Mus musculus: one gene and its partners. The protein of the gene in region 1 interacts with the protein of each later gene in a pairwise test. Links are inferred from orthologs where the notes say so. Each region holds a gene or a part of one and is shown on either strand. Other genes may lie near its edges.

Evidence for each region.
Region 2: the proteins of Nr4a1 (region 1) and Prdx4 interact in a two-hybrid assay, tested with the Homo sapiens proteins (2 studies listed by BioGRID and IntAct). The link is inferred for Mus musculus from reciprocal best matches to the Homo sapiens genes NR4A1 and PRDX4.
Region 3: the proteins of Nr4a1 (region 1) and Cdkn2d interact in binary tests that used the Homo sapiens proteins (3 or more experiments, as listed by UniProt). The two-hybrid records come from large-scale screens. The link is inferred for Mus musculus from reciprocal best matches to the Homo sapiens genes NR4A1 and CDKN2D.

What each region holds. Positions count from the first base shown.
Region 1 is NC_000081.6:101,271,114-101,275,990, reverse strand, and holds the end of Nr4a1 (nuclear receptor subfamily 4 group A member 1), read right to left. Parts: intron 4,256-4,877; coding exon 4,126-4,255; intron 3,839-4,125; coding exon 3,687-3,838; intron 3,274-3,686; coding exon 3,071-3,273; intron 2,977-3,070; coding exon 2,798-2,976; intron 1,996-2,797; coding exon 1,739-1,995; 3' UTR 1,196-1,738; downstream 1-1,195. UniProt on the Homo sapiens protein: Orphan nuclear receptor. Binds the NGFI-B response element (NBRE) 5'-AAAGGTCA-3'. Binds 9-cis-retinoic acid outside of its ligand-binding (NR LBD) domain.
Region 2 is NC_000086.7:155,334,840-155,341,272, forward strand, and holds the start of Prdx4 (peroxiredoxin-4 isoform 2 precursor), read right to left. Parts: upstream 3,622-6,433; 5' UTR 3,524-3,621; coding exon 3,274-3,523; intron 117-3,273; coding exon 1-116. UniProt on the Homo sapiens protein: Thiol-specific peroxidase that catalyzes the reduction of hydrogen peroxide and organic hydroperoxides to water and alcohols, respectively.
Region 3 is NC_000075.6:21,287,589-21,293,925, reverse strand, and holds Cdkn2d (cyclin-dependent kinase 4 inhibitor D), read left to right. Parts: upstream 1-2,716; 5' UTR 2,717-2,976; coding exon 2,977-3,117; intron 3,118-4,593; coding exon 4,594-4,953; 3' UTR 4,954-5,463; downstream 5,464-6,337. Other genes in the region: protein KRI1 homolog, read left to right, coding at 5,973-6,066, 6,154-6,227. UniProt on the Homo sapiens protein: Interacts strongly with CDK4 and CDK6 and inhibits them.

The DNA.
Region 1 (4,877 bases):
CATCAAAACTCTCTCTGATACTAAAAGGCTAGGTCTATTCCTCTTTCTGTTCTTACAAATGTGCAAACCGAGAAGTGAGAAGCCTGGCCTAGTGGTAGAGTGCTTGTGGGGTGTCTGGGAGACCTCAGCATCACCCCTCCCACTCCATCACCCCAAAATAAAACGGAACTGGTGAGGGGACTCGGGAGGTGAAAGTGCTTTCTACTAAGCTGGATGATCTAACGTCTCTCAAAGCAGGACAGACCTGGCTTCTACAACTTGTCTTTTAACTTCCACACGCTTGCAATGGCACGTGTGCGCACACATATATACACACACATGTACTTGAGTACACTATTTTTTTCAACACAGGGTTTCTCCATGTAGCCTTGGTTGGCCTGGAACTCTATTTGTAGATCAGGCTAGCCACAAACTCAGAGATGTGCCTGCCTCCGCCTCCCGAGTACTGGGATTAAAGATGTGTGCCAATAGATATTTTTTTAAATACTTAAAAAATAGTTCTAATTCATAAATTGTCCTTTATTTATCCCCAGGTCAGAAGGCTAAGAGACAGACCTGAGACCCAAGGCCAGGTCTATCTTGCTGCTCTAGTCCCTGGGTTAGCCGCTGTCCACTGAGGTCTGGCAGCCAGCGGTAACCAGAGGCTTCCCACATTAGGAACTAGCTCCCGATGCATGTGTAGGGTGAACATCTATAATCCCAACACTCAGGAAGTGGAGATAGGAAGACTGACAGCTTGAAACTAGCCAAGCTACACAGCAAGTCTAAACCATCCGGGCACCATGGTGAGACAGGTGTTTGTGTGAGAAAGGCAAGCTAGTCCCAGAGTTCTCCTAAATGGCTGCATGAAGCAGGCTTCATCATGACCTATCACCTACAGGTAAGTAACCCAGGCTGACCAGATCACTGGCAACAGCTAAGATTTGCCCAGGGCTACTGCTGTCTCTTATATAATCATGGCAAAATGTCTAGTGCTGTCAGAAAAAGCCAGGCATGGTGGTGCACGCCTTTAATCCCAGCACTCGGGAGGCAGAGGCAGGCGGATTTCTGAGTTCGAGGCCAGCCTGGTCTACAAAGTGAGCTCCAGGACAGCCAGGGCTATACAGAGAAACCCTGTCTCGAAAAACAAAACAAAAAAACAAAAACAAAAACAAAAAAAAAAAAACAAAAAACAAAAACAGAAAAAAAGACTCAATTTCAACTACATGTCTATTTTTTATTCAATATATTAAATATATTAATCAGAAAAGTCACATCCTATAAATCCAGGAAAATACACAAATATAAATCAGAATCTGTCAATCACCTTCTTGAGTGACAGTTATGTACACATGGAAGGAGAGCGGAAGAGATCTCGAGTTGGAGGCTCGCCCAGCTGGTGGGAGCCCCACCCCTTCCTCCCAACCCCCATCTCAACCTCTTCCTTTCTGTATTTACAGTAGCGTCAGCTTATTTACAACAGAGTGGTATGTGTTAAAAATGGTTTATCTTACAAAAACACACGAAGGCCAGGACTGAGCTGGAGGGATAAGACAAATAGTGGGGTCACCCCCGTGAATACACACCCTCCCCCAGGTCTTGAGTTCTCTGTCCATCTTCTGGAGTGAGGAGGTACGTCAGTCTTAGCTCAAAACCAGGCTGGGGGTAGGGTGGTCTGGGGGTCCGTGGGCTATAGGCTTAAAGGCACATGGGTGACAGAAGAGCACGCACGTGTGCGCACACATGTTCAGGGCAGGGGTCAGAAAGACAATGTGTCCATAAAGATCTTGTCCACAATAGGTGGAGGGGGTACCAAGTCCTCCAACTTGAGGCAAAAGATGCGCTGCAGGCCTTGAGTGCACAGGGTCCGAAGCTCAGGCAGTTTGCCCAGCAGACGTGACAGGCAGCTGGCCGGCTGTGGGTCTCCTGCCACGGTAGCCATGTGCTCCTTCAGACAGCTAGCAATGCGATTCTGCAGCTCTTCCACCCGACGAGGGTCCTGGAGCCCGTGTCGATCTGCAGCAGGGAAGGTAGAGTCAGCCCCGCTCAGTTGACGCCTTCTCCCTGACAAGCTTCCCCAGCCCTCTAGCACGTCCCACAGGAGCCCACTGTCCAGACTGGTCAATATTTGAAACCACTGAATGGCTGGCCAAGGCAAAAGCCTAATCCAGGTTTTCTGGAGGTCCAGGCTCCACACTGTTCTAAAATCCTGGAGTCTCGCAGGACAGACTAAGGACGAGCTGGGTGTAGATATCACTCCCTACCCTTTCAAGATCCAGCTCCTGGTCTTGATCTACTCAGGAGGATCCCCTAAGAAATTTAAGTGGAAATGGGAGCGGAAGCAGAAGGGACCCAGAAACCTCTACATTTAACACTAGAGTCCATACCCTGTGATACGCACAGTAAAATCCATGACAGGAATGCCACTGAGGCTGGCAGAGTGGTTACCTCTTACAGAGACAATAAGGAGGGAGCCCAACAGAGCTGAAGTAGGTCCTGTTTCTGGACCATGGCGATAGCTATCCAAGCGCAGAATGTGAAAAATTCATGTGTGCACGTTCCTGTGTCTTGTGAGGTTGACAGCTAGGTTTTTAAACAAACAGAATCCCTAAGCTAGATGCCCAGCGCCTACAGTCGTACCTGAGGAGTCCGGGGTCATTCGGAGGCTGATTTAAGCTTTAGGGGCGAATAGAGCTAAGTCCCTTTGCAGGTCCTAACATCCCAATGTTGCAGGCACTCTAGGGGTCCCCAAAGTGTTAGATGCTACCTACCCAATGGTCCTGCAACCCTTGGGCCCAGTCTAGTTTCTGCCACTCACCAGTGATGAGGACCAGAGCGGACAGGCAGGCAAAGGCGGGAACATCAACACCCAAGCTGTGCAGGGACCGTGAGAAGGCCAGGATGTTGTCAATCCAATCACCAAAGCCACGGGCACACTGCAGCTGGTGTAGTACCAGGCCTGAGCAGAAGATGAGCTTCCCCTCACCGGGTTTAGATCTGGCAGAAGGCAGAGAACAGTCAGGACTCAGGGTCCAGGCAGGCCGGGGCCGCAGGGCTGGGGCCAGGGCTAGGAGGATGGTGGGCAGCTTACCGGTATGCCAGGCGGAGGATGAAGAGTTCCAGGAAGGCAGACTCTAGCAACAGGTCTTGGTCTCCTGGGCAAAGCTCAATGAAGCCAGGGATTTTTTCTGCCCACTTTCGGATAACGTCCAGGGAACCAGAGAGCAAGTCATAAAATTGTTGCACGTCACCGGCATCTTCCTTCCCGAAGCGGGGCAGCACCAGTTCCTGGAACTGAAAGGAACGCAGGTAAGTTCCACATGAGGGCCTGCACCACACAGCTGTGTCACGCACTGGCTCCACAGCAAGGCCTGCATCACACAGCTGTGTCCTGCATTGGGTCCACAGCAAAGCCTACACAAGCTGCATTACAGAGCTCTCATGCACTGGGACACCAGATCCAGGCGTGCAAAAGAGCCCTATTCTGGGCCCATGTGCTTGTCAATTCCCACAGGAAAACAGGGCTACGGCAGCTGTTTGTAACTGGCTCCCCGACCCCACACCCATCCCAATGCATTTCTCCAACTAGCCAGTACATAGAGGATGCTTGTTTCCTGATGTTGCCCTGGAGGGAGAGCCTTTCCTAACAGGCACAAAGGCATTGCATATGTTCTCAGGGCAGGGCAGATGGGCGGGCAAGACCTCACCTTGGAATAGTCCAATTTGGCAGTGCTAGGCCCGGAGTCCAAGTGTGCCCGGATGAGGGAAGTGAGAAGATTGGTAGGGGAGGCATCTGGAGGCTGCTTGGGTTTTGAAGGTAGCCGGCCCCGCCGCCCTTTTAGGCTGTCTGTCCGTACAACTGCAGAGAGACGGGCAGTATTGAGAAAGGAGACCTGGAGAAGGAGGGTCTTCAGGGCACACTATACACCCCACTTCTGAGAAGTCAGAGACAGAGAACTCAGACCATGATGGGGACCCCACAAGGCCCTCCTCACCCCACCCTTTCCAGAAAGCAGGTGGAAGCTACACCTGCATTTAGGGGCTGGAATCTAGAAGTGGGAGTGGGAATTAGGTGCAGATCCTGGTGAGCCCGGCTGTCCCACCCCATCAGGTCGCCTATGCCGAGGGCACCATCTTGCCACCCACCTTCCTTCACCATGCCCACAGCCAGGCACTTCTGGAAGCGGCAGAACTGGCAGCGGTTCCGCCGCCTCTTGTCCACAGGGCAATCCTTGTTTGCCAGGCAGATGTACTTGGCGCTTTTCTGTACTGTGCGCTGGAGGAAGGGGGGACACGGAACAGGCTGTCAGAGCATGGGGTTTGGGGGGGGGGTGGAGAGCCCAGGGGAGGGGACCGTCCAGATCCTGTGGCCGACGCAGACAAAAGCGCCCTCTGTTCATAGCTATTTTCCTAACATTTGGATGTAGGGGAGGGAGAAACGGAGGGCCAGAGCGCAGAGAGGAGTCTGGGAGATACTGGAGAAGGTTTCAACCTCACAGGGAAGATCCCAGAACCCAAGACCAGGGTCTAGGAACTCCCACGGCCGTCCAGACACCTGTTCTAACAGGTGTCTGCATGTGTCCACCTGCCCTTTTCCTGGCGCAGAGGAGAGGACTAAGGGGGTGGAGGTGGGGGAAGCCAAGCAGGCACCCAGCACTGGGACAAACACACAGCCTGTTCCCAAGTCCACCCCCAGCAAGAACCAAACCCTCTGCCTGTGTCCTTTCATCCAGTGCCAGAAACACAAGTTCTGTGGAGAACCAGAGGCTGCCCACTAGGTTTTCTGTTTCTGAGCACCACTGCAGGCCACACACACACACACCTTCTGCCCCCTTCCCCAGCTTTCTGCAGCCCTAGAGAGATGTGTGCCCTGCTGAATAAAAAGTCCCAGCCTCTAA
Region 2 (6,433 bases), on another chromosome or scaffold:
ATCCAGTGGGTAGAAGAAAAAAACCAAGTATTTCCCACGATAGTCAGTCAGTTTGAGCTCCTTGAATTCTCCGTTAATCACAGCTGTTCCTTCCCAATAAGGTGCTGGCTTGGAGACTAAGAAAGAAAAACAAGGGTCTATAACACTGAGAAAGTTGTTGGAATGGCCAAGGACTGTTTTAGAAAAACACTAAAAATTGGGACTTCTAAATCTTTGAACTTCATTGGAAGTCTGGAAGCTCACAGACTTCTGAGAACTTAGAACAATAACTTATTGTCAGAGAATAAAAAGATACAAAGAATTACAAAGGAAACCAATTACACAGAAATGTGAGTATAAACATTTTAAAAGTTAGTGATGGAGTAATAATGTGTGTTTAGTCACAGCACCATCAAGGTGCAAGATGTAGGAGTGATCGTATAAGTCTGTAAGATATCATTGTCAGGATTCCTGCAATAGCTATTACACAGCACGAAAGTCTCTGCAATGCAGGGGCAACAGGTACAATCAAGTACTTCTGGAGCGAGTGTGAGTTATTGCACATATCTGTAATAGGAGGAAACAGTGAAAATACTTTTTATATAGAATTTTTTATGGTTACTGTATTAACAAACATTAGACAGAATAAAATGTGAAATATGTCTCTGCCCATCCCACAAAGTCTTAAATCTTATCCCTGCACTGAACCGGACTGGATATTTCACTCTAGCTTCTTCAAATTATCCCAGATCATGGGAGTTTCCCTAGAAGGCTGTGAAAAAGGAGACATCGCCCCAACCATGAACAGGTTTCGAGTGACCTGATGTCAATTTAATAGTGCTGCTGTCTTATAAGGGCATGCTGTGACTCTAGCCAGCACCGTTTGATAATTATGTCCACTCTTGCTATTGATACAGTCATATAACACTTCCAAACCCATTACATATAATGAGATCAATACTTGCTTCCAAGTTGGACTAAGGTTTCTAAAAATCAACGCTCATTCTTTTGTGTAAAAGCCAGCAATAAATCACACTACAGAGACAAACTGAGGACGAATTTTCCTGAAGTTAATCTATAACATGTGATTTCTTACCTTGAGTCAAAACTACCTAAATAATCAAAATTTGTTAAGAAAAAAAGGCCAGATGAGAAAATTAGAAATGTGCTAAAATATACAATACTTCAAATGCTTAAATAGGAGGTTATAATAACTGTAATGACTTGTTATGACACTACTTAAAGATTTTACATATACTGAAAACCATGTCAGGAAAAATCTTATCCTGAAAATTGATTATTGCAAATTTTTATTTTTGATTGAAAAATTGTAGTTACTTTGCTAAGATCTTTAAACACAATTCTCAAAGCAGCCCTTTGCATCTACTTTTTAAAATGTGGTGATGCATGCCTTTAATTCCATCATTCAGGAGGAATTAAAGAGGTGGCAGGTGTGTCTCTATGAGTTCGAGGCCAGATTGGTCTACATAGAGAGTTCCAGGACAGCCAGGGCTACCTGGTAGTGAAACCCTGTCTCAACAGAGCAAGCAACACTTCCTAACACGCTTAGCACATCCTTAACAACCCTGATTATGCCGGGCGTGGTGGCGCACGCCTTTGATCCCAGCACTCAGGAGGCAGAGGCAGGTGGATTTCTGAGTTCGAGGCCAGCCTGGTCTACAAAGTGAGTTCCAGGACAGCCAGGGCTATACAGAGAAAACCTGTCTCAAAAAACAAAAACAAAAACAAAAAACAAACAAACAAACCCAACCCTGATAATAAGAATTCTGGTAAATACAGAGAAGTAAAGGAAGACAATTTACATGTTCTGTCTCTCAAACTACAACCATTTTTTCCCAAACACAAATATGGATAAGGTTGCATTCTCATTTTTAACACTCATTGCATTGAGAAAAATGTATTATAATATTTTTCATTTTATTAGAATGATTCAAAAATAGCCTTAATTGTTCTACAATATCCCCTTTTATGAATACAAAAATCTCCTTTGGAATGTTTTTGTTTCTAACAGGAAGTGTATTTGAGTAAGCACATTTCAGAATATCTTCCTCATGCAAGTGTAGTCAATGAAACTTAGAAATATTTTTAAAGCAAATCTATCTTCCAATTCCAAAGTAGTTAACTTGTACTATGAAACTACAAATGTTTACGGAGGCAAATCGGCTTGGCTTTTTCATTTATGGCTTGTGGTAGCAACATCCCATTATCTTTAGAGGTTCATAACTGTGAAGTAGCCAGATGTGGTAGAGCACAATTGGAATCCAGCACTCTGCAAGCTGAAGGAGGAGGACTACAGAATTTGAAGCCATTTTGTCAGATCTGTCCAGTCCCCATGTCCAAAAAATTGACCCCAAAATGTTAAGTATAACTATTGTTTCACTGAATACTAGCACAGAATGTGCCACAACCACCAAAACTCAAACACACACTCACAGAATGCCAAATAATCCCTAGGAAAAGTGGGTTAGGGAAAAGCAAATAATATATGGTCTGTGTCTGTGTCCCCTGATCACTTTTTTGGCAATCTTAATATCCAGATGCAGCAGGCCTCAATTTTCTCACTATCTTCTTAGTCTGACGTGTCTTTTTCTGAGAGTGGCCACTAGCTTCAAACACTAGACAGAAAGACAAATAATGAAAAGCCCAATTGGCAGTACACAAGATTTACCACCAACCCAACTGTGCCTCTTCCGCCTCTTCCCCAGTTTCCCTCCAAAATACTCCATAAGACTTGTTTTTTTTTTTTTAAATAAACATCTATTAACTCTACAAAGTTTGGGGAGATGACTCTCAATAACAATCTTTATAAGCTAAGAGAAAAAAAGTTTGACCTCCTGACCATTTTGTTTAACCACTTTTCTGTTTAACCAAACTTTCTGTGAATCATTATTCAACTTATCAATGTACTTTCTTCCCTGGAAAAAAGAGATAGGACGGCTGCAGGCACTTTCGAATATGTAAGGAAGTATTTTAGTTTGCACAACATCCTCCACGACTGTAAGCCCGGGTCTAGAAACACCCCCATCTGCGGCTTTGGGGGTAACCGCTACCTCTCCCGAAATCTGTTCAGAGAAACCCATTTCTTTCTTCACACCAGGAACCCACCTCCAACCTCACACCCACAAAGGCATGGGGTGGACCGAGAACTCCCAGGCAGCCTTGGGGGGGGGGTGCGGCCCAACTCCAGCCCCACCCTTTTGTAGCATCCACAATTAGGGTCTAAGATTCCTCGAGTTCTACCTCCTCCACCCAAACTCGCAAGGCACCACCTACTCTTGGCTTTGCTTAGATGCAGGGAGTGATCCGCGACTGAAACCCGGGACGCCTCCCCGGGGTACACTTGTCCACCAGCGTAGAAGTGGCACTCATTTTCGCGGGTCCGGAACCGTTCATCACTCTCCAAGCCTTGCAGAGATTCGGTCCGCAACAGGAACAGCAGCAGCGGCGGCAGGAGCAACACCAGCTTTCGGGTCCAGCGACGGGACGCCGTGGTCCCGTCCAGCAGCTTGGACCGCGCCTCCATGACCAAGCAAGCGCGAAAACACGTCCCTCTGCTAAAGCACAGAGTCCCCTGCCGCCAGGCAGCCAGCTAAAACGGCGCGCTGGAGACCGCGCGACCAAGGGCGCGGCCTCGCGAGACTTGCTCCGCCCCACTCCGCCCCTCCGCCACGTGGGCGCAAGCTCCGCCCCCCCCAGTGGGCTTCTGCGCCTGCGTCAAAAGGAGAGCCAAGCTGAAGTGTTTTCCCAATTTAACAAAAGAAGTTTGCACGGGTGCCTAGTGACTGATCTCCAGAGCACTGACTGTCCCTGTCCTTGAAGGTGTACTTCCAAGTCCATCTCTGTAACAGAGCTTCCCTACCCCTCACATCATCCCCTCACAAGTTCACACTAACCTATGTGCCTGTGAAGGACTTAAAATGTAGACTTTTCGTGGTTATTTTGAGACAGGGTTTCTCTGTGTAGCCCTGGCTGCCCTGGAACTTGCTCTGTAGACCAAGCAGAGATCTACTTATCCCTGCCTCCCTGAGTGCTGGGGATTAAAGGCGTGTGCCACCACAATTTATACTTCTAATTAAGGTCACTTTCATGCATCTCATTTTGTTTTTGTTTTTGACAGATCATACTTGTATGCACTTACAGGGCACCATCTGAATGAATATAACATGGAATGTAGTCACCAACTCATTTACCTTTTTATGGGGAAACACCCAAAACAGTTATTTTGAAATATACTGGTTGACTATATTTGGCCTGTTGATTACTCTAGGTTTAGGAGGCTGGGGGCAGGGGGTGGGTGGGTTAGGCCATGGACACTACAAAATTGCTGAACTTAACAGACATGTATGTGTCCCCTGAACCTCCGGAGTGATTTGCCTGTACAGTGCCAGGACTCATCTTTTCAGCTCTTTTCAGTCCCAGAAAAACTTGAGAGCAAATAGCTAACCATTTATTTTCCTCCAACAGGCAAAAAGAAGTTTGGGGGAATTAATTTTGCTTCAAAGATTTGCTTTTCCAGTCAAGAGCTGTAAAGTTCGTAGTCACCCCTCATAGCACAGCATAACTACCCATTACCCATCGAGCCCTCTTCCTCTGCTGCCTTGCCTCTCCTACCTATGATACACTAGGGCATGCCCAGCCGCCCTTGAGTTATTGCCCCAGCGCCTAGGGGCTCAGTCCCACTTTAGCTTGTCAGACTGAATTGTGACGTCACCTGTCTGCTCCCTCAGCCCTAGTGCTGCCTTCATGAACTCCAAACCATAACTGATTTACACCCTGTTCATCCTGTTTTGAAAAATTACTATTTAAATTTTTTTTGTCTATATGTCTGTTCACTGCTTGTGTGCCTGCTATTCATAAAAGCCAGGGGAGGACATTGAAAGATCCCCTGGAACAGAAGTTACAGACAATTGAGAGCTGCCACGAGGGTGCTGGAAATCAAACCTTTGTCCTCTGGAAGAGCGTCCAGTGCTCTTAACTTCTGAGTCATCTTTCGAGCTCCCTAATCCCATCTTGAATATAAAACCTCTGACTATGGACCGTTATTATGTCTGCTCTCCCTTCCTCTACACGTTCGATCCGTTAATCCCTTCAAACCATACTTTCCCAAAGCTTAATTGACATATACTTTATGACTATTAGAACAATATTCTTTTCCTTACAGCGATCTATTACTAAACTCCGTGACTTCTCTCTCTAGACATAGTCTTTTTCAGTTTGGTGAAAACTCAAGAGATAAAAGGGTCTAATCTGAAAAGTGGTATCTCCTGGCTAGCCTTTCTCTTCCAGTAGGAATTATAGGGTAAGCGGGCGGTTTGGTGACTTAAGTGTGTCCCAGGTATGTATGTTTTAAAACCAAATGCGGTGCCACAGGTCAGGATGCAGCAGAGCTCACTCAGTCTTAAAGCATATGTCCAGGATATTTCAGTTCCCAGAAGCCCCCTCCCCCCGCCCCTCGGAGAATATGCTTACTCATTACAGTTTCCTGTAACTCTTCGCTTTCTGGAGGTCCGTAGATGATAGGCCTCTGACGAGGTAGCTCTCGTTCCCATTCTTCTCCTTCCCTAGCCTCCTGCTCAACATGGAACGGAAGTGGGACCCTGGGAGTTCGGATATGAGATCCAGAGACTCGACTGTGGCTCATGCCACGTGAACGGCAACGGTGATCCATGGAGGCTGTAAAATAGCCACTAACCCTAGTAAATTGGAGGCCCTGAGCTGTGGCTCTAAGTTTGAAATTAGTTTAAAAAGCTGGGAAAGAGTGATATATATATATATATATCCCTACACCTCTTTTATCTTAGGCTAAGTTGAGATGTCCCAGTTGGTACCAGGGACCACTCACCAGCCCACTGGGGAGAGTGACCAGGTTGGTCACCTCCCTGGCACCTACTCTCTCTCTGTCCTTCAGGTGATCTGAAATCTCTTGGTGACTGGCATTTTGAGTGCTGCCTGCCCTGAGGCCTTCAGCCAATGACATTTGAGCAGTCATTATGCTGTCATAGTAGTATCCACCAGAAATATTGAAGTAGGGGCCTGACCCTCAAGGCACCCACCTTACAGTTAGAGTTGGTTACCAATATTAAAAATGCAATGCTATCAGACACAGAGGGAGTGTTCTGAAATCTACAATATCACAAATATTAATCACTGGTCACCTAAGTGTCTAGATATTGTTCAAATATTGTTTTTTGACTTCTAATGGGGGCCCTACATAGTCCAGACGTTGTGGGGAAAGTGCATACCTTTGTATGATTGCCAAAGTTTCAATATATCCTTGTGGACTCCCTATCTGATATTGCCATGGGTATCTACTAGCAGGGTCCACTATGGATCTCACAGTGAAAGCCCCAATCCTATTCACTTTCTTCCCTCTGACTGGTAACTTAAATAAGCCCTCAGTCACTACACCAGGCTGTTTACGTGGTCTACACCT
Region 3 (6,337 bases), on another chromosome or scaffold:
AGATGGCCACCTCAGGAGCTGTGTCTGTGGGCTGAGAGAGATGGCCACCTCAGGAGCTGTGTCTGTGGGCTGAGAGAGATGGCCACCTCAGGAGCTGTGTCTGTGGGATGGGACAGATGGCCACCTCAGGAGCTGTGTCTGTGGGCTGAGAGAGATGGCCACCTCAGGAGCTGTGTCTGTGGGCTGAGAGAGATGGCCACCTCAGGAGCTGTGTCTGTGGGATGGGACAGATGGCCACCTCAGGAGCTGTGTCTGTGGGCTGAGAGAGATGGCCACCTCAGGAGCTGTGTCTGTGGGCTGAGAGAGATGGCCACCTCAGGAGCTGTGTCTGTGGGATGGGACAGATGGCCACTTCAGGAGCTTCTTGGTAAAACTTACCTCCCAGAACCACATGGCAGACCTGGTCAGGCCGAGTTTCTGTTCAACAAGGACTGCTTAACCTGAGCTAGACCATGATTCTTTTCTCAGTAATTAACATTTCTAGCTTTAGTCTATTTTGAGGGGGAGGGATTATTTTCATTTGTTTTCGAGACAGGGTTTCTTTGTGTAGCCCGAACTGTGCTGGAACTCACTTTGTGGACCCGACTTGCATTGAACTCAAAGATTCGTCTGCCTCTGGGAATGAAGGCCTGAGACACAACATTCCCCCCCACCCCCCACCCCCACCCCATAGGCTTTAGTCTATAGACGTGGTGGCAGAGACCTGTAATCCCAGCACTCAGGAGATAGAGGCAGGATGATCAGGAATTTGAGATTAGTCTAGATGTAGTAAATTTGAGGCCAGCCTAAGCTATAAAAGACCTTGTCTCAATAAAAAAAATGTTAGGGGCAGTAGCTTATAGATCAGTTAGTAGAGTGATTTCGTCACCTCCATGAAGCCCTGGGCTCCATGTACAGCACTACATGGACTGTACCATAGTAGCACTTGGGAGTGGCATTCAGAGGCTCGGGTGTTATCCTTGGCTACATATTGCAATTGGAGTCCAGCCTGGGCTATATAAGACCCTTAAAAAAGAAAAAAAAGAAAACCTTAAAAGATAATTGCCGGGCTGGTGAGATGGTTCAGCGGGTAAGAGCACCTGACTGCTCTTCCGAAGGTCCGGAGTTCAAATCCCGGCAACCACATGGTGGCTCACAATCTGTAACAAGATCTGACGCCCTCTTCTGGAGTGTCTGAGGACAGCTACAGTGTACTTGCATATAATAAATAAATAAATCTTTAAAAAAAAAAAAAAAAAGACAATTGCCAGACTGGAGAAATGAGATGGCTCACCAGTTAAGAGCACTGGCTTCTTGCTCCTCCAAAGGACCTGGGTTTAATTCCCAGCACCCACATGGCAGCTCAGTTCTAGATTCGGCACCCTCACACAGACATGCATGCAGGCAAAACAGCAATGCACATAAAAAATAAAAAGGAGTCAGGCAGTAGTGGGGCACGCCTTTAATACTATGCACTTGGGAGGCAAAGGCAGGCAGGTGAAGAACAGTCTGGCCTACATAGGGAGTTCTAGGACAGCCAGAATTACATACTAAGACCCTATCTTGAAAAACGTAGAAAAATCTAAAAGAGAATTATTACAATATGTGGCTATTTGATTGTCTATATGTGCACCATGTTGGTATAGGTCAGAAGAGGGTGTTGGATCTCTGAAGCTGGAGTTACTGATGGCTAAACTGTCACATGGTTGCTGATATTGAATCCTAAATCTTCTACAAAAGCATTGATCCATCTTTCAGGTTCTATAAATAAATAAATAAATAAATAAATAAATAAATAAATAAGTAAATAAATTAAAGGAGACCATCTTGGTAGCCCATTCCTTTAATCCCAGCACGAATGGCAGAGGAGGCAGGTGGATTTTGAGTTCAAACAGATCAAATAAGTTTCAGGCCAGCCAAGGCTACACAGAGAGACCCTGCCGCAGAAACATAAAAACAAACAAAAGTCGGGCGGTGGTGGCCTTTAATCCCAGCATTTGGGAGGCAGAGGCAGGCGGATTTTTGAGTTCGAGGCCAGCCTGGTCTACAGAGTGAGTTCCAGGACAGCCGGGGATACACAGAGAAACCCTGTCTCGAAAAAACCAAAACCAGCCAACCAAACAAAAATGTTAGAAGGCACCGCGCTTTACCACTCAGAAGCCGTTCCTTTAACCCAGCAGTCGAATGAATGAACTAAGCTCCGAGTTTCACAGTAAGAGCTTGCTTATTAGCATTTCCGCGGTCCGTGAATGACTAAAATGTTCCAGTTATAGGAGTTTCCAGTCCTGCCTCCCTTCCTCCCGGAGGCGCTAAAGATCCAAGATGGGCCCGCGCCAGCCTGTCTCCAGCCTCTCCGCTGGGGTCAGTTAAACCTCCTCCTCTTTCCCGCCCGCCCGCCGGTTTTGAAAAACCAAAATTCCTGCTGTGGCGGGCAGCTCCACTGGTCGCTGCACGCTGACCAATCAGGAGCCACGCCACTGCTACGGGAGAGACAAACCTCCCCAGCAACGCGTGCTGATTGGCTGTTATTCCCAGCAGGCGGGACTAATGGAGGTCGGGCTCTGGGCAAAGTGGCTCTCGCTACTCTGTTGCGAGTTTGTAAGAAAACAAGGGCGCTCTGGGCGGGGCCTGGGGCGGGCTTGCCTCGCCCACTAGCGGCTGACTCTGGCGGCCAGTACAGTGCCGGCTCAGAGCAGACCCCGCCCGCGCAAGGAAAGGAGGGAGGGTGAGTCTGGGGAGACCCGGCCCAAGGGGCGGGCGCCGAAGGGCTGGGCGGGGTTCCCCGCTGCCTCTCTCGGTGACAGGGGGAGGAGCTAGCTGCGAGCGCTGGGGTCGTACGGGCGGAGGGCGCAGGCTCTGAGGCCGGCAAATGATCATAGAGTTGGCCCTGGTGGCACCGCAGTCCCTAGAGTTCTGATCCAGCTCTTGCTGGTTCCCCAGCCCTGACCTTAACTGGGCTTGGGGCTGGGTGGGTTTCACAGTCCACCGGTATCCACTATGCTTCTGGAAGAAGTCTGCGTCGGCGACCGGTTGAGTGGCGCAGCGGCCCGTGGCGACGTGCAAGAGGTCCGCCGCCTTCTTCACCGGGAGCTGGTGCATCCTGACGCCCTGAACCGCTTTGGCAAGACGGCCTTGCAGGTGAGGCCTGGCTGGCACCCGGCCCCCACACCCCATCCCTACAAGTCTCCTGACCCGGGTTGGTGATCCCTTAAGGTTTAGTCCTTGCTTGCTCTGATGTTGGGTGGGTGGTGAGGATGCGATGGGGGAGGGGATGGCTTTTCAGCTCTTGTCTAATAGCCTGACAGATTCAGTTTCCCTGCAGACCTTTATTCTGTGGGTTCATCTTCTTTTCGTGCCAGTCCTTGAGGACAGCTCATATTTCTTGAGGCTCCTTAAAGATATTCGATCTCTGGAAGATGGCATGCATGTCTTCTCCAAGGGAGATAGCCTTTTTTTTTTTTTTTTTTGAGGTGCCCTCTTGAAGGATCTCTGGTTATTTCAGGGACATCTTCATTTCGGCAGGTGATGTAGATTTTTTCCCCTTTTGTATCTTCTGCGTGCCTAGTAACAAAAACGATTCCTTATTGCTTGAAGGTCCCGTAATTTGGGTGGCATTTATAGGAGAGTCCCACCTTTTCATGGGTACTCATACATTCTGAAGATCATGCCTATGTCTAAGGAAGTTATTTCTCGACAAAGGGGATCCAAATTGTCTAGAGCATCTCTTTCTCAAAAATTCTATGTAGTTCCCAGATTGTAGTGTTGAAGGGGCTTTACAGCCCTAATGATATGGGACTGCTCTGGCCTCAAAGAGGCTTTAGACGCCTTCCTGGTTCTCTCTCTCTCTCTCTCTCTTCAAGACAGGGTTTTTCAGTGTAGCCCTGGCTGTCCTGAAACTCACTCTGTAGACCAGGCTGGCCTTGAACACAGAAATCTGCCTGCCTCTGCCTCCCGAGTGCTGGGATTAAAGGCGTGCGCCACCACTGCCTGGCCCGGTTCCCTTTCTCATCCATTCTCTTTACTTCTCTTGCTTCTTCATTTTCTTTTTTTATTTCTGAGACAAAGTCTCACTTTGCATCTCAGACTGGCCTTGAACTTGAGACTGTCCTCCTGCCTGAGCCTCTGAGGTCCTGGGATTATGAAAGCGTCACTATGCCTGGCTTTTTAATGTTTTCATGAGAGTCACTTTTATAGTTAGGGCTTTTTGTTGTTGTGTTGTTGTTCTTAAGAGAACTTTGGGCTACACAGTAGTGACACAAATTAATCCAGCACTTAATCTTTAATCCCAGCACTTGGGAGGCAGATGCAGGTGGATCTCTGAGAATTTGAGACCAACCTGGTCTACAGAGAGAATTCCAGGACATCCAGAAAGACATCCTGTCTCCGACAAGGATGGGGGTGGGGCTTAGAAGGTGTGTGTGTGGGGGTGTCCTTATTTTCAAAGAACCTGTTCTCTGGGGTCCCAGTCTGATCCCTTGGGTCCTGACTTTCCTGGGGGCGTCCCCATTCCCTAAGGATCCCTTCTCTGTGCTCTGGATTTGTGGTAGACCTCTTTATTCTACCTGACCCTTCTCCAATGGGAACCTCCTGACTTTCTCCTCCCCACCCCCATAGGTCATGATGTTTGGAAGTCCAGCAGTTGCTTTGGAGCTCCTGAAGCAAGGTGCCAGCCCCAATGTCCAAGATGCCTCCGGTACTAGTCCTGTGCATGATGCGGCTCGCACCGGGTTCCTGGACACCCTGAAGGTTCTGGTGGAGCATGGTGCTGATGTCAATGCCCTGGACAGCACTGGGTCGCTCCCCATCCATCTGGCGATAAGAGAGGGCCATAGCTCCGTGGTCAGCTTCCTAGCTCCTGAATCTGATCTCCACCACAGGGACGCTTCCGGTCTCACTCCCCTGGAGTTGGCTCGGCAGAGAGGGGCTCAGAACCTCATGGACATTCTGCAGGGGCACATGATGATCCCAATGTGACCCAAGGCCACTGTCTCCAGCCTTACTGGGTTACTTGTCAACAAAAGAGGAAAGAAACTTTCTCTTTTCACACCTGTCCATTGAAGAAGGGAGTGGGAGGAGCAGTTTGTGGTTTATTGGTGTTGATTTCTTGAGTGTGTGTGTTTGGGGGGTGTTTCTCATTTGTTTTTCTCACCCCTTTTGGTGTGTTGGACAAAGAAGGGGCTCCTACAGGCAACAGCCATCTAAACGGTTCAGTTTCCTCTGCACTGGGGCTGCACCAGGGCAGGGGTTTAAAGCCCTAGCCTCAGAGTGAGGTCATCACTTCCCGGGCCCCTTGGAAGCTGGTGACCTTGGCAGGCTGTGCTCAGAGAGCCCTGAAGTGTGAGCCATCTACTTTGGGCATGTGAGGGGGAAGGGAAAGCATTTCAAATCAATTAAAAGGATAACATGAGTTCATTTTTCTTTCTTGGAAGGTTTCCAGTCTGTTGTACAGAGTTTGAAATATAAATATTTATTGCTTTATGGAAAGAAATTGTTTTGTGTGATTATTTTATGTTTTGGCCCATTAAACTAAGACAGCGATGATGACTTCAGATTTAGGAGTCTGGAATGGGGTGGGTATTCGGAGGGTAGGATGGGACTATGGATGGTGTAGGGTGCTGGGGTTGTCGACACGGTCATTCCCAGGGCGTCAGGGTAACTGAGTTGGGTGGGGCAGCGGTCGGGTGCTGTCGGAACGGAAGAGAGGCAGGAAACCGCGAGTGTAGAAAGGGGCCCCCAGATGTCAGCTGGGTGCCGGGAGCCGTCAGGGTGGAGAAGGGTGGGCGGTGGCTTGTGGCCTTTCCCCGCAGAGGCTTGTCCCGGTGGGTGTGGCCTGCTGAGCAAAAGGCCTACGGGATCCTGGAAGAACGGAGGGTGGAGCAAACTGCGTCTGCAGTGGACATGCTCCTTAAGAAAAGCCCTCAGGGGGCGTGCCGGAGAGAAGCCACACCCCGGAGGGGCGGTTGCACGCGTGCGCGCTAGGTCTCACAGCCGCCATGCCGGAACCGCGCGCCTCTGGGTGCCTAAAGGTGAACGCAGCGTTTGCTGCGCGCTACAGCCGTTACCGCGAGCGTGAGGAACTTCAGCGACGTGAGTGAGGGGCGCCTGCGCAGGCCAAGGTGTGGGGAACTGGGTCTGGTGATGGTAGCTATGAGGAACCCCGTGTATATTCCACAGTGAAAGATCGCTATGGAGATCCGGACGTCGGTGGCGACTCCAGTTCCGAGTCTGACTCCAGCGATGAGCATGTGGTGAGCTTCCGCAACCCGGCTTCGCGTCCTACCCATGTACATGGGGCTTTCCCTAACCGGGCTTGGTTGTCCCGGAGTCTTCAGGACCCGCCCCCATGCGTAGAGTGACA